Caenorhabditis elegans: one gene and its partner. The protein of the gene in region 1 purifies or fractionates together with the protein of each later gene. This does not show direct contact. Each region holds a gene or a part of one and is shown in the gene's direction. Other genes may lie near its edges.

Region 1 (10,402 bases):
AAATGTTTAACTATTAAATACAATTACTCAACAACTACTTACTGAGTAGCTCATTGAGCACAAAACTGATTTCAGTACTACCAATCCACTGTCGTGAACCAACAAACTTCGCTTGCTTGTCTTGAATATCAACAAGCGCCTGCAACAAATAAAACAACTTCAATTGAAATCTGCTTAAGCCAACCTGCTGAATTTCCCGATGACTTGGCACAGGTTTATCAGTATATCCATTCAAAATGAACCAACTCCAGATAGTTTGGAAACTACGATATGCACATCCCCATCCACTATCATCAATTCCATCTTGCATGTAATGATGATAATTGTACGGCCCATTTACAGTGGTTATTTCACCAACTGGTTGATCTGAAAATTAATTCTGAGTCTTTGCTTGTTTAGACCCAAAATTGCCAAAAACTTCCGCATTTCGTTATGAAACGTTCTGAAAATTTCTCAAAAGAAAAAGTTAATGCGGTTTTTTTTTCAGCTAAAATCTCGAATTTTGACAACTTGATGATTCAAACTTCCGCAATTTCCGGGTCTGTCAAGTTGGCAAAATTTGATGTCTCATTACGAAATTCTGTAGTTTTGGGTCCAACAAAGCAATGCCTCAAATTTCGGTACTCCATTTTTAAACATACAATTTGTTATAGACAAATGTGGCTCTCGAATGAGCTTCTTGTTGGTCAAACGAGCACTCTCTGAGTGGAGAGCCAACGCTTGAGACAATCGAAGAACTGGCTTAGATGATGGCAAGTTGAACAACTTGTGAAGACGAATACGGTAATTTCCTAGAAAATTGAATTTTTATAGAAGTTGAAACGCTTTCTATGAATACTTTGTTCATTGTCCGTCCATTTAGTTGGAAGTTGGAGATGAAGTAGAGAAACCCATCCAGGTGGAAGATAAGTTGCAGATGTGGTCGTTGTTACTCCGCGCTGCAAGATATCAATCGATATAAAAAATATTACATTTCAATTTTTACCCCAGCTCTTATTCCATTGACTGTAACCATCATTGTATTGTTAGCTCTTCTATTGAATGCCTCACGTGATCGTTTGTACAAATCCAGTGAAGAATCTCCAAAGAACGCTGGGAAAACTACCTCACCAATTGTGACGAGCCGAGTGAAATGTTTGTTATCTAAATTACGAATTTAATATCTTTATAAAATAACAAAATTCTTTACCCTTGGTAACCTTAACTGTTGGAACCAGCTTTTGATCTTCCGTATCATTAGATGTATCCCTAGTGAGAGATTGCATGGCAGTGAATTCGATAACATCCTGAAATTCCGTCAATCATATTAATTTTAGACAGTATTTCCAAACCTTATATGGTACAGCGCCTTTCGAGAATTTATCAAGATACTTCTGTTGAGCAGCTTCTGGCTTCTGCTCACGGATCACCAACCCGTGTTCAGCGTTTAGATATGTGAAACGAAAAGAAGCCATTGAAAGACGTTCGGCAGCAGATTTGACATCTTCTTGTTCACGACCTGCTCGAAGTGACCACTCGTATCCAACCTGAAACGGACCGTTTTTATTCAATAATTTAAAGATCTTATGGGAACGTACTCTGCTGACACAACTAGCTCCTTCCATAAGAACATGTTCATTGTTGAACATCACATTCATATCCAAAAATTCGCTGATACTTCGATTTTCAAGCATTCGAGATGTCAGCTGAAGGGTGAACTGCCCGCCAGGAAGAATCTGTGATTGTCCATCAATATTCAAGTTTCCAACCAGTTCAATATCTGAATTAAATCTCAGTTTTTAATAATATTATTCCATTAATTACCAGCAGACAGAGAGCTCTCCAAGAATTGTCTGTTCGATTCAGTCAGATCTTCAGCGTAGGCGAATAGCACATGGATAACCTGTTTCCGAGCTTTACGTCCGAAAACGAATCCGCCAATTGTCGTATTAATTTCGTTGGCATTGGATTTGGAGAACGAGCGGAGGTTGGCGTAATTCTTAAAATATTTCGTGTGAAATCTTTTATCTCGCAAGACTGATTTTGGAGTGTTTTCAGATTTTATTTCGTTTTTTTCCGTTTTTCAACTAGTATAGAAAATCGAATAATTTCAGCACTTCTTAAAACTTTCATAGCTCATTTCCACATAAATTACCTGAAACATTGCCTGCGCATCAATAAACCACAATTCATTCACAGGAGGTGGAGGTGTTGATTGTGGAGCCATCTGAGTTGGTCCAATTAGTGAGACAGTTTGAGAATTCGTCATTCTTCTTCTCTTCCAATCACCTTTCAAAAGATAATAATAGTTTATGGATATTACCACGAATCACGAGAGAATAATATTGAAATGTGTCATTTATACGACCAGCGAGCTGAATATGGGGACTTGTAGAAGGGGATTTTGCAATAGAGAGATGAATAATTTAAATTATTTGTGTATTTTACAAAGAAAACGAGAATAAATCAATCGATAAACGGAAGAAGCGGGTGGGACTAATAAATAAATTGCAATTTGTTTGGGCATTTAACAGAAAAGGATAGTTTAGAAAAAAATGGGAGAAGAAAAATTTTGTTTCAATTCTCAACCTATCTACACCCTAGAAATCGTATCACATTACAAGAAAAAGCGATTAAAAGTCCAATAATTAGACATAAACATTTTAGGAAAGAACAAAATAACGATGAAAACGCCTGTAGATCGAATGTAGACGGCTGCTATGCTGTTGTGCCCGCTTCAATCAATGAGTTGTTCTGAAAAGATATACGAGTTAGTGGGTTGGTTGTCATGGGTAACTTGTGCGGAGCAGGTGATACCAGAAAAGCTAATAACGAGAGAAGACGGGAGAAGCACGAAAATGAGATTAGGTTTGCTATTATTTCATTCTTTGAATGGGGAGTTGGTAATTCGCGTAATTTCTCATCCCTGTGGTACGGTTTTTCCTTCTTTTTTTTTGAATAAAAATATTATGTATCTAATTCAATTCCCATAAGATTGTGAGAATACTTCGTTTTTACAACAAATCTAACATGAAATTTCCTCATAATCGTATGAGAATTGAATTAGGTAACATTTTCATTAGAAAAAATAGTGAAACCAGTAAAATTGAGAACTTATCGAAAAAAAACCACCAAAAAACGGTGGAAAACAATGCCACAGGCTTGCAAAACTACGCGCTGCCTCTCTCTGTGCGACCTTGATTTTGCAAAATTCACGTTTAATTTCATCGTTTAATTTCAACATTCCCAAAACTAAATTTTAAACAAAAATTTCCAACCTACCAACGAGACTCTATGAATGTGCTAACACGATTGAAGATAGCACGTCCTCCACGATAAGCCAAATATCCCAAAGATCCCCAGACAACAATACGGACGCCAGTGGAGAAAACCTGGAAATAAAGAAATGAAAGAATTAAAATAACTTCAGATTAATTTACCTTTGTTCCGAGGCTTGGTGGTGGGATGTTCATAAGTGGATCAAAATCAATATTTGTATTCCATTTGTTAACAATTCCTGGAGTATGTCCGATTCCAACGACAGCAACAACTGTCAACGGTTGAAATTGTTGCCCAGTTGTTCCACGAAGCCATTGTGCACGTTTTTCGACTGAGTTCCGGTGTACGAGCATATGCAAAGCATGCGTCATGTAGGCATCACGCTCTTCCACAAAGATTTGGGATAGTTGTGGGAAATCATCAGCCATCTCGGCGAGAAGTTGCTCCAGAAGGTCACGTTGCTTGCATCGTTCCACCTATAATTTTGGAATATTTTTGGAAAAGGTTGAATAATTAAATACCTCTTCTGCAGTTATCTTCTCACGATGTGAAAATGCAACGTGGAAGAAGAAGCGAATTTTTTGCCAGATGGAGAGAGAAGCCAGTGCACGTTGAAGTGTAACTTGAATAGGACGATCACCGAGAACTACACGACAATTCTGAAATAGTTACTTTGTAAATAAAACTTTTTAAATACTCAAACCTCAGTTGCAACTGCTGCACGATGAGCAGCACGGAATTCTCCTCCGGGAGCCATGGAAAGTTCACGTGTTACATGCGCTGACATTGACAGGAGAAGAACGTGCAGAATTCCTTGAATCGCGCCGTTCTTAAAAAAGTTGAAAATATTACAACATTACAACAACAAAAATATGAGAACTCACTTGTTTCATGGTCTGAATAATTTTTTGAGAGTTGAGATCTTTCGCTTCGCTCAAAAGCCGAGCCTCATCCATCGATATGATTGAAATTCGTGATGGACACAGCTCAAGCATGACAAAATCAGGTTGCACAGCACGAATTGTGTTGGATACGTCTTCCTGCGACTCTTTTGAAAAGTGAGCTGTACCGATGAGATAAATGGTGGAGTCGAGAATCGCTTTCTTCCATTCTTCATCAGAATCGCTCAGCACGGGGTTGCGTGGAGGAATCGCCAGATTTGTAGGCCATTTGAGCACTGTTACTGTAATTATAGAATATAGATATCAGTGTTACATCGAACTGGAGTTTTAAGAAACCTGTATTGGCATTTGGGACGAAGTCATCTGCTCTTTTCCTTCCGAAATGGTACCCTCCACAAACAGGATTGTTCACCACTGCACCATCTTCTGTTGCTTCAGGAGCTTGTTCCAGCTCATAATCCAACTCGGCATCATCTCCAACATGCTCATCAAAATTTGAAGTCGAATCTGCGAGTGATATGATGGACTGCTCGGCTGTCTCACTTGCACCACCAACAACTGAAACTAAAAAAATATTAAATATTTTAAAAATAATTATCTTTCCAAACAACTTCAAGCGATGAAAAAAAACTTACGTCCTTTTTTCGAATTGATTGTCAGAGAACGCATCCGGAATAGATCCTGAACATGGAGATTGTTAATAATTTTTACAAATGTAATATTTCAGCATACCTCTTCAGTCAATTGATCTTCCGATGGTGGTGGCACGTCATTAGGGTCTGGAAACTCAGTTCCATCTGGATTCAAGTTTGACGATGACTCTGACATCTGAAAACCTTATTTTGGATATAACTTGAAATTATAACATGTTTTATTTCATACAATCGCGTACAAAGCGGAGCTTACAAAGCTGAAAAACAATTAAAATGAATCCAAATCACTCCAGGTTTCCATTTTAAGTTACAAGAAAAAAAAACAAAAAAGACCAGCGAAGCGCGTTTGCATTGTGTCTCCGTCTCCATAATTTATGTTGTGACTCGGTTAAAACCGCGCCGCACTCGACATTTTGCAACCATGGCACGATTTCTTCTTTCGTAAATCCCCCGCAATTATTTTCAGTAGTTTTTCAGCTTTATTTCTCAGATTATGTCCCTTTTTCTTCTCTTTCGTTGCTGAAAATCTTTTATGAACAACTGTGGTCACGCGATTTAAAAAGAAAACAGAAATTTCTAGGCTGATTATGTTCTTTTATTTCGTTTTAGGACTAAAGTAGGCTCAAAATAATTTAATAATTATAGATGACTACGGGCAATTTACAAGTTGCAATTTATGGATTCACAGCTCGAAGCAGAGCTTTTGAGCCAGCCGGAATATGCTATGAAGTGAGTTTACTATCACCTATGTCCGCAAATATTTCTTAACTGACATTTTCAGACTCGCCTTATTCGAGATAAACTCACACTGGGCCACTGTACGCTTCCAATCTATAAAAACTCTCCTGTTGCAAAGCCTGTTACGGAACAGCAAAGAAAAAAGTCGTCTGAAGAGCCAGCTGAATTGAGAAAAGATCTTTTTGATGCTGATAATGAAAAATATGAAAAGTACTTGATGAAGCTGGATCCAAATGACTGCAAAAATCAGGATCACTACAAAGTTTTAGGATTGTCGAAGCTCAGATGGCAAGCTACATCTGACGAAATTCGTTTCTGTTGTAAGTTAAAATGAAGTGAGAATTTTTTGAAGAGAATTATTTCAGATCGTCAAAAGGTTTTGAAGCATCACCCGGACAAGAAGAAGCATCGTGGAATTGTTATGGAGAAGGAAGAATACTTTACTTGTATCACAAAAGCTTATGAACAAGTTGGAATGTCTGACGTCAAACGTCAAGCTTTCGATTCGGTCGATCATAAATTCAACGATATTATTCCAAATGAGAAATCAATCAACCATAATAACTTTTATAACGAACTTGCTCCAGTTTTCCAATTAAACTCCAGATGGTCCAATATCAAGCCAGTGCCAGAACTTGGTAAATCAGATGCGACCCGGGAGGATGTCGAGAATTTCTACGATTTTTGGTTTAACTTCCAGTCATGGCGCGAGTTCTCGTATTTGGACGAAGAAGACAAGGAAAGAGGAGAAGATCGGTACGAAAGACGAGAGATGGAGAAACAGAATAAGGCAGAAAGAGAAAGACGGCGGAAAGAAGAGGCGAAGAGAATTAGAAAGTTGGTTGATATAGCTTATGCTAAGGATCCTAGAATTATCAAGTTCAAGAAGGAACAGCAAGCGGTAAGTCTATAAACTTTGCCTAAACTTTGCCGGATTTTCAATTTTAAATTTTAGAAAAAAGATAAAGCAAAGGAAGATAAGCAAAGAGCCATCCGTGAAAAGCAAGAAGCTATCGACCGTGAGAAGCGTGAAAAGGAAGAAGCCGAAGCTAAGCAGAAAGAGGAAGCTGACAGAAAAGCAAAGGAAGAAAGAGTGAGCACAATACACCAGAATATTGTCGATTTTTAAATACTAACTATTATTTTCAGGAGAGAGAAAAGAAAGAGCGTGATATTGCCAAGAAAGCTATGTCTCAGCAGCGTAAGCGTCTGAAGAAACTCGCTGATGAAGCTGGCCACTGGACGGAGAATCCTCGCGATAAGCTCACTGAAATGGAAAGAATTGAGCGGATTTGCATTGGGTTCACTGTTGATCAACTCAGAGAGCTGTGCGAGAAGGTCGAATCACTTTCAATTGCTTCTGAAATTCAAACTGCGCTAACAGATGCTGAAATTCTGAAGAAAGAAGCTGCTGGAGCAAAGGTCACAATCACTGAGGATAAGAACAAAGAAAATGAAAAGCAAGCCGACAAGGAGACATGGACTAGTGAAGAGATTCAATTATTGGTTAAGGTAAGACATAAACGATTGGAAATCATTAATTAATTTTCATATTTTTAAAGGCTTCAAACACATTCCCACCTGGAACCGTGGAGAGATGGGTTCAAATTGCCGATTACATTAACGAGCATCGCAAGGATTCTACGGGTTTACCACCAAAAACTGAAAAACAGGTTATCAAGCAATGCAAAGCTGTTCAAACGATGAACGTCAAGCTACCATCAACTACTCAAAATCAGCTAGGAACTGCGCTACCAGATGAGGATGTCTGGTCAGCAACCGAACAGAAAACTTTAGAGGACGCTATCAAGAAGCATAAGTCAAGTGATCCCGAGCGGTGGGAAAAGATCTCAACAGAAGTTGGCACAAAGTCCAAAAAAGCCTGCATTCGTCGTTTCAAGTATCTCGTTCAAATGGTTAAAAATAAGAAATGATCTTCTAGTCCAAGTAATATCTTCTCTAAATCTTCCTCATCCCTTCATATTATTTCTTGTTTCTCCTCCATAACTCTTGTTTCCGTTCCCATCACATTTTAGCTCGTTATATTGTTTTTTCTTCATTTATTCATTTATTCTTGAAAGCCTTAATCATTCTTGACTCTTGACCAACTCAAATTCAGTAGTACTATGTACTTTTTTTTTTGTTTCTGTCATCAAACTTTTTCTGCAGTGCTCAATATTCATGTCTCAGTTATGAACATTAGATGAACGGTGCGTCCCTATCAATTTGTCATGTTCATTTATTCATTCATTTTCACAATAAGTACAAATTTCAATAGTGATGGTGACGGTGGTGATGATAACCGTCCATGTAGATAACTTCAGGTTGAGTATAGATGATTGGAGTAGCAGTTGGATACACGATTGGTTGAACACTTGGATATATGGGTTGAACCATTGGTTGCATAATTTGCTGAACAACCGGAACAATCTGTGGTTGGGGAACAATCATTGGAGGCGGTGGTTGAGCAACAACGATCGGAGTTGGAGCAACAGGCATTTGCATTACACCGATTTCAGTACCTAGAATTATTAAGATTGGAAATCAAAAAACAAAAAAAAATCCCCAGAATATTAAGATAAAAACCAACCTCCTCCGTTATGATGTTTGAAGTTTTCGAAATGAATTTTTCCAACTCGAAGATCTCCTCGAACAGTCATTGCAACGATTCGTTTTGGGCATTTATGATGATGATAATGTCCGATGTGATGTCCGTCCACGTGGATCTGGAATTAAATTGATTGTTTTTACGAGAATATTGTTTGAATAAAAAAAAACTATCTGTGTTCAATAATCTGATATTCTAAACTCAAATAATTAGAGAAATTAGGTTTTAACATAAAGTCTTTCACACTCGTGGGTACGGTAGCTGAGAAGTTTCAGGACCCGATATCTTGATTTTGGGTTGAAAATTGTTTTTTTACGCAAAAAGGTAATATGTATTCACAATATTTACGAAAAAGAAAATCTACTTAGAACTTCTAAATTTGTTTTATTACGTAGGCATCTACAGTTGCGAATTTCATCATATTTTACGCGCATGGGTCTCGCCACGCTGAAACCGAGTTACTGTAGCTCGTGTCAATTTACGAGCAGCTCGACACGATATACAGTCACTTCGCGTGGCGAGACCCCTGCGTGTAAGATGTGGCGAAATTCTCATTTTTAAACGTCTACTGAATATGGCTCTGATCGACGTTATTACTCGAACATGGATGAGAAGCCGGGAGAGTTTTTGAACGTTTTTGAGACCATCTCGTAAATCCACACGGCCGAGTTTGCCTCAAATGAGACCCTGTGGATTACAGAACAATAGAAGAACCAACCGAATATTTTCTGTGCTCATTATGAATTCTCATACAAAATGGTCGGCCAAACATGATTGTATTCTGATGATGTTCTTCTCGATGCCATCTTCCTCTTTGTAAATGATTAAATACAATCACATTTTGACCATATGAACCCATTCGAACCGATATATGAAGAGCAACTCCATTTTTGGTGGGAAATTCGACTGTGAATCCTCTGTAATATTGAAAAGGTTATCTATTACTCAAGTGCAAAATGTCGTGATTTCTTTTCTTAAAATACGGCTTCAGGTCTCGCCACGACGATATTTTGTTAAATGGAAACGAGTGCCTTTGAAGATTACTGTAACTTCTATTACGAAACCATCAGATCATGAGAATGCCTACCGTTTTGGTGCGGGAATATCTCGTAGCGAAGGCACTCTCTTCACTCTCTCTGCTGTCGCTATTTTCGCGCCAGAAAGTAGGCATTCTCATGAAATGGTGGTTCCTTAATAACCCCTCTCCCGTGATCTCAAACTGTTTTAGTATTAAAGTTTTTCAAAAGGAAAAATACGTTTTTATTCGAAAATGGGTTCAGAAATCATTGAAAATTACCGTACTCTTTAAAGGTGCACACCCGTGAAACTCGAAAAATTTGGAATATGGTAATTAAAACAAATTACCCTGATTCTAAAATAATTAATTTTTGAATTTGACTAACCCCTGTGGACCTTGAAATACTTCTCCATGAATTTCCACAGATGAATGTTCTCTCATTCCCTCATAGATTGGTGTAGTCAATGGAATTGGCTGAAAATAGTTACTTTAGAACAAATAAGCTCATAAACTAATGACTCACTGGATTTTCAATGACGTGAACCATTATTTATTTGATGAAAAGCTGCGAATTAGAAACTCGAAACGAAAACGGAAAGATGGTAGACTTTTATGCCAATTCTTTATCGGTGCAGTTTCGAAAGAAATGTGGAAGTTGAAATGGAATGATAAGAGAAAAAAGAATGACGACGAGTTTTATGTGAATCACACATACGATAAAATACTTCGAATGATGTTTGCTTAAAAAGGTATGGACTGTCATTTCAGGCACACCTTGAACTCTCTAACTAACTGTTTGGTTTAGACGAATTATTGGAGATGGGGAATTGGAACACAATTATATTAACTATGAAACCGTATTAAAATTACCGTTATTAAATATTCCTGAATTACTTCATTTCTTAAAGATTTACTCTGTTATACATAATTAGCATTAAAAAAAAACGAATGTGAGTTCAATCTTTGAGAACAGCTATGAAATTCACCTAAACCTCAAAAATCCTCGGACATGATCCAAATGAAATGTGTTTCAAACTCCAGATTCATTTTTTGCATGCTGCTTTTTGAACTCTATAGAAAAACCTTCTTGATAATCAAACCATACGGTAAAGACACATTAAAAATAAATAACATTAACACAACTAAAATGGAAACAGTTTATTCGGTGGTTCATATAGTACACATATTCCAAAATGAAATATCTCTTTACTGATTATTTGTCAAT
Region 2 (10,853 bases), on another chromosome or scaffold:
TTTTTAGGCCAAAAATCGCTTAAAATTTCCAATTTTTAAGCTTAAAAATCGCTTAAAATTTCCAATTTTTAGGCCAAAAATCGCTTAAATTTTCCAATTTTTAAGCTTAAAAATCGCTTAAAATTTCCAATTTTTAGGCCAAAAATCGCTTAAATTTTCCAATTTTTAGGCCAAAAATCGCCCAAAAATCGCTTAAAATTTCCAATTTTTAAGCTTAAAAATCGCTTAAAATTTCCAATTTTTAGGCAAAAATCGCTTAAAATTTCCAATTTTTAAGCTTAAAAATCGCTTAAAATTTCCAATTTTTAGGCCAAAAATCGCTTAAAATTTCCAATTTTTAGGCCAAAAATCGCTTAAATTTTCCAATTTTTAAGCTTGAAAATCGCTTAAAATTTCCAATTTTTAGGCCAAAAATCGCTTAAATTTTCCAATTTTTAGGCCAAAAATCGCCCAAAAATCGCTTAAAATTTCCAATTTTTAAGCTTAAAAATCGCTTAAAATTTCCAATTTTTAGGCAAAAATCGCTTAAAATTTCCAATTTTTAAGCTTAAAAATCGCTTAAAATTTCCAATTTTTAGGCCAAAAATCGCTTAAAATTTCCAATTTTTAGGCCAAAAATCGCTTAAATTTTCCAATTTTTAAGCTTGAAAATCGCTTAAAATTTCCAATTTTTAGGCCAAAAATCGCTTAAATTTTCCAATTTTTAGGCCAAAAATCGCCCAAAAATCGCTTAAAATTTCCAATTTTTAAGCTTAAAAATCGCTTAAAATTTCCAATTTTTAGGCAAAAATCGCTTAAAATTTCCAATTTTTAGGCCAAAAATCGCTTAAATTTTCCAATTTTTAAGCTTGAAAATCGCTTAAAATTTCCAATTTTTAGGCCAAAAATCGCTTAAATTTTCCAATTTTTAGGCCAAAAATCGCCCAAAAATCGCTTAAAATTTCCAATTTTTAAGCTTAAAAATCGCTTAAAATTTCCAATTTTTAGGCAAAAATCGCTTAAAATTTCCAATTTTTAAGCTTATAATCGCTTAAAATTTCCAATTTTTAGGCAAAAATCGCTTAAAGCTGTAAATCCAATTTTTAAGCGAAAATTCACCGAAATTCCGCCAGATACGGTAATCGTGGTGAGACCTCGATGCCGGAAAACCTTTATGCGCCTTTCATTTTTGTAATCTATTCTTCAATTTTTTGAGCGAATTTTCGCGGTTTCTTTTTTAAATTTCCGCCAAATTAACCATTTTTCACGTTTTTCCAGCTAAAACTTGAAATTTTCAGCGAAATCTCTCTTTTTTGGCCTGAAAATTCGCAAATTGTTTCCAAAAAACGGTAATCGTGGTGAGACCCAGCTGTTCTCGAAATTCAATGCGCCTTTAAATTTTGTAATCATTTCTTCATTTTTGGAGTGAATTTTGACGTTTTTCACTGCTAAAAGCGAGTTTTTAATCGGTTTTTTTTTCGATATTTTTGGGTTAAAATTCGCATATTTAATCCTAAAAATCAAGTTTTTGCCTAAAGTTGGCGGGAAATCCAAAAAAGAATTTTCACCATTTTCTTATTCAAAACATTTTTCGCGCCTTTTTCCCATCAAAAACATGTCAAATTCCCGTGAAAATGATGAAATCTGACGAAATTCCTCGTTTTCCGCGCGAAAAATCGCATTTTCCCACGAAATTCTGTTATTGACCTACACACAGCCGGGTGAGCGCGAATTTCGCCTAATTCGTTCGGTTTTCTCATCATTTCAAGGTCATTTTCGCACTCAATTCGCTCGTTTTTCACTTTTTTCGTCGTTTTTCCTTCTATTTGGAACAGTTTTTGGCAAAAATACGCCGGAATTGCAGGAAATTCCCGGTTTTTTCAGCTTTCCATTGGATTTTTTGCCGGATTTTCAGATAATTCAAGCTGTATTTTCAGCGATTTTTTCGAAATTGCCACCTTTTTTCCAGATTTTAAGGTTTTTTCTGAGGTTTTTGCAATTTTCTCGCAATTTCTTGGATTTCTGTCGATGTGCCAGCGTTTTCCTTCGAATTTGCACGATTTTGTCGATTTTTAGAGATTTTTCTCCAATTTTCAGCGTTTTTCATTGGTTTTTGAGAAAATCCTGCTATTTTTAATGATTTTTCAGTTGTTTCAGCAGATTTTAGGATTTTCCAGCGACTTTAACTGAATTTTCGCTCGATTATTGGCATTTTGAAGCTTTTCCTTCCGATTTGGCACTTTTTTCGGCGATTTCTCGAAAATTCGCCCATTTTCGCAAAAGTTCAAGGTTTTCCGGGCATTTTCTCAAGTTTCTCCGATTTATCTGTGAAATCTGCTCTGAAAACCAGAAATGAGCACAAAAACTCGATTTTCATATTTTCGAAGTAGTTTCTTCCGATTTGGCACATTTTTCCGGGGATTTTCTCAAAAATTCCCACATTTTCCAATGTTTTTTCGAAGTTTTGAAATTTCCCGCTTTGAAAATCCAGAAATAAGCCCAAAAGGAGCTCCACGGAGCCCGGTTTCATCAGAAAATTCGAAAATCAGCTGAAAAAAGGTCAGAATTTCAGTAAAACGCTCTATGGAGCCCGAGTATTTGCTCATTAAACGCTTCTGAATAAACAAATAAACATGAAGACGTAAAGCCAGACGGAGCTCCAACACGCACGGAGCAACTAATTTCGTTTGCAGTTCTTCTTCTTCTTCTTCACAAAAGACGCAGACACTTGCACACTGAAGACACAAGAGACACCAGACACTCTGTCCGTTCTCTGAGTCTCTGTGGCTTCCCGTGATCTCTCGTTGGCGCCCAGCGCCTGTCATTGGCGCTGCCCACGAATAGATAGTGTACGTGGAGTGGAGAGTCACCAGACAGAGCAATAGGGAATGTCCAGAAGCATCGGGAGGGATGAGAGGACGTGGCTGCAGTGCCCCCTGTTTCTCTGTGTCTCTGCGGTATTTCCCGTACTTTTTTTGGGGGGTTTCTTCTCCTTTGCAGCAGATCCCGAAATTCCTCGAATTTCGCATTTCCGCCGCCGCCCACTTTTTTCCAGCTTTTCCAGCAGCGATCTGGAATTTTTGAAGCTTTGACGTCCGTATTTTGAGATTTTGTTCCAAGAAATTTAGTTTTTTGAACTGAAAATCGAGGAAATCGACCGGTTTTGGGCCAGGTTTCTCTGAAAATTGGTGCCTAACCAGGGTTTCTAACTGACTTTAATGTTGCCCAGTTTTGGGATTTTTTTGGTCGGTAAAACCAAATTTTTTTTCCTAGAAAATTAATCTTATGGAAAAAAAAAACTGGATTTTACCTGAAATTTTCGAATTTACTGACTGTTTTAGTCTATTTTTTCGAGTGTTTCAAAGCAAAATTCCCACTGACACCGCCGGTAGGCAGGCAAGGCTTCAGAGAATGATGCCTGCCTGAAATCTGCCTGCCTTTCGCCTCTTTGCTGCATTTTGACATGAGTTTTCAAATTTTCTCATTTCTATCAATTTGTTAAAAAATCAAATTACACGTAACACGTATTGAGGCGAGAGTCAGGCGGAGTCGGTCGCCTCAAAGACAGGCAGGTAGGCCTACGTTCAAGGCCTACACACCAGGGGTGCCAGGCTGCCCATTTCGGTTTGATCTACACAAAAATGCGGGAGAGTTTGAGACGCGAGTTTTCAACCGATTTTGCATGGTTAAGAACGTGCTGACGTCACATTTTTTGTTGGGCAAAAAATTCCCGCATTTTTTGTAGATCAAACCGTAATGGGACAACCTGGGGACCACGTGGGCCTACAGAAGTGTGTTCCTAAACGACAAAAAGCCTACAATTTCTCTTCCTATTAGGTTTCTCAAGTATCAAAGTTTTTCATTGATTAACACAGGGATACACCCCCTCTCTTGATGATTTTCTATTTGACCTCGATATTTCGGAATTTCGGGTGTACTTTGTCGTTCCCCGCGCGCGGGCTGCGAAAACTTTTTTTTTAATATAAAAGTTGTCTCCACCGCGGCCCGCGCAATTGTCTTTACCCCAACGGAAATGCAATTATTATTGTCATTTTTATCACCACCATTTCAACTTTGCCGATCTCTGTGTGAAATTCTCAGTTGCCGTCCCCGAAAGTAAAGAAAAGTGCTCGAAATGCCACTTTTTTTTTTTTGGAAGAATTTTCAACTTTGAAATGGATTTTCCCGAAAAACTGGCATCTCAGCGAAGAAATTTCTCGGTTGTAGTGGAATTTTCTACTCAAAAACTCGATTTTTTTTTATTAAAAAATTCAAATTTCGAGGTATTTTAGTGGAATTTTCTATTGAAAACTCAATTTTTCACATTAAATCCCATATTTTTTCTTGGAAATTATCGATATTCAGCTTTAAAAATATGTGAAAAGTTGAAAAATGACTCCTTTGTCGATTTACGCAGCTCTTGTGTACTTCTCGAGGAGAAGAGAAGATTTGTACAGTTATAGTAAAAATGCGGCATTTTTGGATATTTTTACTAAAATTGTAACTCTTCTCCACGAGGAGTACACAAGAGCCGCGTAAATCGACACAGGAGTCATTTTTCAACTTTTCAGATATTTTAAAGCTGAAATATCGATAATTTTCAGAGAAGAAACATAGAAAATTCCACTAAAAACGAGAAATCCATTGAAAATAGCTCGAAATTCGGAATTTTTAATCGAAAAAAACGAGTTTTTGAGTAAAAAATCTCTATGAAAATGTGGGAAATTTGATATTTTCGAAATAAAATCGATTTTTCAGGGTTTTACACTGAAAAAGTGCCATTTTTTTCGAAAATTTCGAATTTTACACGTTTTCATAGAGATTTTTTACTCAAAAACTCGATTTTTTCGATTAAAAATTCCGAATTTCGATAATTTCTCCATTTTCCCACTTTTTTCTATAAAATTTCTAAAAATGCTAAATAATTTCAGCCAATGGACTCGTCATTCGTCGATCCATCAACAGCTCTCGGCATTCTCGGTGGTGTTGGTGTATTTGTGTTTGCAATTTATTATATGATATTCATGAATCGACAAGAGGATAATTTTGACAAGGTTCGGAACGATTTTCGTGGAAAAATTGAGATTTTTCACACGAATTCTGATCAGAAGAGTGAAATTTCAAGAGATTATCGACTTTTTTCGCTTAACAACCGGATTTTCCTTGACCTAAAATTGGCCTAAAACTTTTTTTTCCCCGCGAAAAAACCAGGAAAACTAAATTTTTACGAGAAAAGTGGATATTTTTCAGAGAATTCTGACTGAAAAGGCAATTTTCCTCGGATTTTCTCATCAAATTGACTGAAAATCTGCGAAAAATACCTTTTTGTGCCTGAAAATTGTTGAAAAAAATTAATTTTTATCAGAAAAACGGCATTTTCAGCAAACTTTTATTCTAAAAAAGACGATTTTTAACGAGGAATTCGATATTTTTTCCGAGAATTTTGACTTGAAATGAGCAAAATTGCTCTTTTTCACTTAAAAAAAACAATTTTCCTATCAAAAATTGGATTTTTATCGAAGTTTTCCCAAAAAAAGAAGGTTTTCGGTTCAAAATTGGCTTCTTTCGGTTTTTTAAGGCAAAAATGAACAAATTCAGGCCAAAAATGCCAATTTTCAGGTGTAAATTTAAAATTTCAACACAAAAATCGTCTTTTTGTTTTTTTCGATGAAATCTTCGCTGAAATTCGGTTTTCCTGATAAAAATTGGTTTAAAAAATGGGAATTTAGGCACAAAAATGTCGTTTTTTGGGGGAAATTCTGAATAAAATACGATTATATTTTCAAAAAAAAAAAACAAATATTCCAAGGAATTTCTCCAAAAAGAAGGATTTTTGTGTGCTGAAAATTGGCATTTTCAGTCAAAAAAAAAACTGTAAAAATCTATAAATTTTTCAAATTTTCAGGCTTACAACCGCGACGCATTGGCTCTTTTGACTGACAACAACGAGAAGAAGAAACAGCCAAAAAATAAGACAAAGAAGCAACAGCAAACGGGCAAAAAAGCACAAGATGCCGCTCCAGCTCCGGCTTCAGCTGCTCCAGCTGCTCCAAATGCTCCAACTCCAACGGCTCAGCAACAACCATCACCAAAAGCTTCTGCTGCTCCAATTCCAGAAAAACCGGAAATTCAAGTCCAAAAAGTGGAATCTACTCAGGCTTCTGCTCCAATTCCAGCTCCAGCAGCTCCAACAACTCAAAAATCGTCTCCAAAAGAGCGAAAATCGGTGAATTTGAAGGATTTGGATCAGAAAAAGGTGCTCAACAAGCTCTCCGGACTCCCAGAACTCGATGAAGCTTATATTCAATTCTTGGCTGGAGCATTCCGTGATTCTGATGCTCAGAAGAATAATTTGAGTCTGGAAGTTAAGGCTTTGAACAAGAAGATGACGGAATCTGCTGTGAAAATTGAGAAATTGAATAAAGAAAAGATGGCTGTGGAACAACGCGAGAAACACGAGCAGTATGTCGATTTTTTACGCGGAAAATTGAGAAAAATCGTGAAAATTGATGAAAATTGGTCTAAAAATGATAATTTTGTGCGAAAATTCAAGAATTTCGATGGAAAACGTGGAAAAATCACGAAATTTCATGAAAATTGGGCCAAGAATGATATTTTTTCGTCCGAAATTTAAAAATTCTGAACTAAAATTGCTGACCACGCATTTCTGACAAAAAAAGAGGCAATTTTCTCCAAAATTTGATGAAAAATCGTTTTCTCAGTCGAAATGCACCATAATTTAGTCAATTTTGACGGAAATTAGGCAAAATCGATTGAAAATTTCCAATTTCCCGCCGAAATTTGACTTTTCGACGATTTTTCGTTAGCAAACAGCTGAAAAACGACATTTTGGCCGTGAAAATTGTAGAATTTTGTTTTAAAAATTACTATTTTCAGCCTAAATTGTTGTACAACGGTAAAAACCCTAATTTATTCAAAAATTTAACTTTTCTGTCTTGAAAATCGGGCTGAGAACCGACAGTTTTACGCAAAAAAATGCTCCAAATTTGTGAAAAATCCCTAAAAACTTCTTAAAATTGAGCTCAAAGAGTCCGAGCAGGCATTCCTTTCAAAAAACGGTGAATTTTAAGAAATTCGCCAAAAATTACAAATTCCAGCAAAAAATTCAACTTTTGGTCTTAAAAATCGGCTAAAAAAACGCTGAAATTGCTGGAAAAATTTTCAATTTTCCGCTTAAAATCTCTCTAAAAACCTGCAATTTTTCAGTGCTCAACGCCAAAAAAAGCTCTAAAAATGTGAAAAAACCCAAAAAATTGCACTTTTGAGCCTAAAATCCGAATTTTCTCCTGTTTTTCAGAGCTCAACGCCAACAACTCTTGCAAAAAGTGGCTCAAAATCAGGCTCACGAATCAGAATTGGCTCGTCAAATTCAGGGAATTGAAGGAAAACTTCGTGTGAAAGAGCAAGAACTTGTTGCCGCAGGAAAAGCTGTCAAAAATAATGAAGAGCATGAGAAAGAGCTGAAGCTGTTGAGAAGCACGAATTCGAGTTTTTCAACAGAGCTGAAGACGATTCGAAAGGAACATGAAGCTCAGTTACAGAAGAAACAAGAAGAATGGAAGAAGCTACATGAGCAGTTGGAGCAAGAAAAGGAGAAGCTTATTTCGGAAAAAGAGCACGCAAAACAGACACATTTGAAGCTGGCGGCAGCTGTTGAAAATGTTGAAGCTGAACTTGAAAAGCAAGGAAAAGAATGGATTCAATTGAGCACACACAATCAAACATTGAAACAACACAATTTAGAGTTGGAAGCTGCTCTTTCAGTGGCAAAAGCTCGAGATCAAGACGGAGAAGCTCAGAAATGGACGATGGAAAAAGCTCAGATGATTGAGAATTATACGCGATTGGAGGCACTTATCGGGGAGCTCAATCGAGATATTTCAGAGTTTCACGAATAGTGAGTAGATGAACAATTTTCGAGGAAAATCTGAAAATTTTCAGAAAAACGGAAATTTATGTTAAAATCGAGAAAACAGGCAATTTTTGCGCTGAAAAACCGAAAATTTCGAGTTTTTCCACCCTATTTTTGGTCTAGAATCGGTCAAAAATGAGCAGCAAAGTCATGAAAAAACTGAATAATTTGAAAAAAAAATGCACGTTTTGACCAATATTTCACTGATTTTTACCTAAAAACTGCTGAAAAGGAGACAATTTTGGAGAAAATGTGAGAAAAAGCTCGAAATTCTACTCGATTATAGGAAACAGGCAATTTTAGTGCTGAAAATTTGAAAATTTTGTAATTTCTAACGGAAAGTGCTGATTTTCCCTTAAAAATCTATAAAATTGTGCTTTTTTGCAAAAAAATTCGTTTTTTCACTCAAAAATGGGCAATTTCAGTCGGAAATTGATTAATTTTGCTTTAAAAAAACTCGAGAAAAACTCAAATTTCCATTGAAAGCCAAAACTCGAAGAAAATCGACAAAAATGGCCGGATTTTTCTCAAATTTCGCCAAAAAAAAAGGCCAAATTTCTGTGGAAAATTGGCGATTTTCCACTATAAAATTGAAAAAATCGCAGAATTTCACCTGAAAAACTTTTTTTTTAACCAAAAATCCACGAAAAACCCGATTTTTTCCGTAAATTCTGGGAAAATCAACGGATTTCAATTGAAATGCATTTTTTTTTTCGATCAAAAACGATTTTTTTTTGAGCTGGAAAGGTGAAATATTGAGAAATTATCATTTTTTACCCGGAAAAAGGCAAAAAAGGCAAATTTTAAATTAAAAAAAAACTAAAAATCCAAGGAAAAACGCTCAAATTCTCGTAATTTTGCAGCAAAAAGCAACAAGAAGTGATTGTGAATGAGCTCAATCATCGTGAAAAAGCTCATTTGGATACAATTGAGCAACTCCGTGAGCAAATTTCCATCGAAAAGAGCAAATTGGCAGAGCTTCAAGTGGTTTTGGACGCGGAAAAGTCGAAAATTGTCGAAATTCCGTTGAATCAGCCACTGGTGGTTGAGGAGGTTATTGAGCTTAAAAAGACGAATGCTAATTTGGCAGCTGCTGCTCCGAGTACTTCTTCTGGAGCTTCAAAAGAAGACGAGGAAACTGAGAAGCTTAAAGCTGAAAATGCCCAGTTGCACGAGAAAAATGAGGTAGAAATATTGGATTTCTCGCCTTTTTTTTAGTGTGGAACATTGATTTTTTCGTGGAAATCTACCTAAAATTGTAGTTTTCAGCTGAAAATTTGGATTTTTCGTGAAAATTGGCTTGAAATTGCAATTTTCAACGTGAATTTCGGATGTTCAGCTGAAATTCCCAATAAAATTCGGAAATTATCAGAATTTCCTTTAAAATTGGCTCAAAACATTAGTTTTCAGTGAAGAAATAACATTTTTAGCTAAAAATCACTAAAAATTCGAATTTTTCTGAATTTTTCAGAAAAAATCCACTTAAAAATGTAGTTTACACTGGAAATTTTAATTTTTCACAATTTTTCGTAAAAAATTACTTAAAATCTTAATTTGTTGTGGAAATTTCCCCATTTTTTTTTTCGTATTTTCCACTTTTGAAAATTGGCTCGAAATTGAGATTTTCCACTGAAAATTCGGATTTTTTCCAGAATTTTTCGTAAAAATCCACTTAAAGTTTACACTGGAAATTTGAGTTTTTTTTTAGTCAAAATCGTTGAAAATCAATTTTTGGCTCTCAAAATTAGTTTTCAGTGAAAAATTAACATTTTTAGCTGAAAATCACTAAAAATTGAGATTTTCCAGGTTTTTCCCGGAAAATCTACTTAAAATTATTATTATAGTTTTCAGTGAGAAAATCACTTTTCATCTGAAATTTTGGATTTTTTGCGTGAAAATTGGCTTAAAATTGCATTTTTTTTTCTGTGAATTTCTGATTTTCAGCTGAAAAATTGCATTTTTTTTACCTGAAAATCAGAAATTTTCGTGGAAAAATGTAACTTTTTTGGCTGAAAATCACAGTTTTTCGGAAATTTTTAGATTTTTTGGGGAATTACGATAAAACATAACTTTTTTTTTTTGTTTATGATTGGAATTTTCGCATTTTCGGCTGAAAACCTCATAAAAATCACTCAAAATGTGACTTTTCACGATAAAAATTGAATTTTTTGATTCCGATGTATTGATTTTTCGAAAACTGACTGAAACCATGTTATTTATCCGGATTTGACGCATTTTTAGATGCCAAAACCGAGATTTTTCGGAATTTTTGCTCCTCAAAATGTGTGAGAAACTATCGAAAATTGGGGTTTCTACTCAAAAATTTCAGAAATTTCAGACTATTTTTCGTTTTTCAAAGTGAAAAATCGTTTTTTTTTCGTGAAAATTCACTTAAATTTGGATTTTGCGTGAAAATTAGCTTTCAAAACTCAGTTTTCAGTGAAAAAATAACATTTTTAGCTTAAAATCACTAAAAATTCGAATTTTTCAGAATTTTTTGCAAAAATCCACTTAAAAATGTAGTTTACACTGGAAATTTGAATTTTTTTTTCTTAAAAATCTTTGAATATCAATTTTTGGCTCTCAAAACTAGAATTTTTCTGCAAATTTTAATCTTTATAGGTGAAATTTTCGCATTTTCGATTGAAAACCATTAAAAATTAGTCAAAGATTGGCTTTTCTCGCTAGAAATCCGATTTTTTTTTTGCTTCCAAAGACTATTTTTGTCGAAAATTGCTCATAAACTCGTCTGAAATTAACATTTTTAGCTTAAAATCACTAAAAATTCGAATTTTTCAGAATTTTTTGCAAAAATCCACTTAAAAATGTAGTTTACACTGGAAATTTTTAATTTTTCCATTGAAAATTTTAATTTTTCACAATTCTTCGTAAAAAATTACTTAAAATCTTAATTTGTTGTGGAAATTTCCCCATTTTTTTT

The links.
Region 2: the proteins of dnj-11 (region 1) and tcc-1 fractionate together in Caenorhabditis elegans (co-fractionation; one large-scale study listed by BioGRID). This does not show direct contact.

Annotation. Positions count from the first base shown.
Region 1 is NC_003282.8:6,580,413-6,590,814, forward strand, and holds dnj-11 (DnaJ homolog subfamily C member 2), read left to right. Parts: upstream 1-5,458; coding exon 5,459-5,542; intron 5,543-5,594; coding exon 5,595-5,871; intron 5,872-5,916; coding exon 5,917-6,452; intron 6,453-6,506; coding exon 6,507-6,644; intron 6,645-6,700; coding exon 6,701-7,063; intron 7,064-7,113; coding exon 7,114-7,485; 3' UTR 7,486-7,774; downstream 7,775-10,402. Other genes in the region: odr-8 (Ufm1-specific protease), read right to left, coding at 43-139, 185-366, 642-791, 839-938, 986-1,143, 1,190-1,286, 1,332-1,526, 1,578-1,759 and 2 more; F38A5.2 (TraB domain-containing protein), read right to left, coding at 2,733-2,733, 3,262-3,371, 3,420-3,734, 3,780-3,917, 3,962-4,087, 4,143-4,441, 4,497-4,724, 4,796-4,841 and 1 more; lec-11 (Galectin), read right to left, coding at 7,823-8,073, 8,142-8,277, 8,878-9,076, 9,563-9,651, 9,701-9,724; nspb-1 (Nematode Specific Peptide family, group B), read right to left, coding at 10,384-10,402.
Region 2 is NC_003283.11:17,850,047-17,860,899, reverse strand, and holds the start of tcc-1 (Ribosome-binding protein 1), read left to right. Parts: upstream 1-4,910; 5' UTR 4,911-4,913; coding exon 4,914-5,033; intron 5,034-5,884; coding exon 5,885-6,441; intron 6,442-7,297; coding exon 7,298-7,897; intron 7,898-8,775; coding exon 8,776-9,097; intron 9,098-10,853.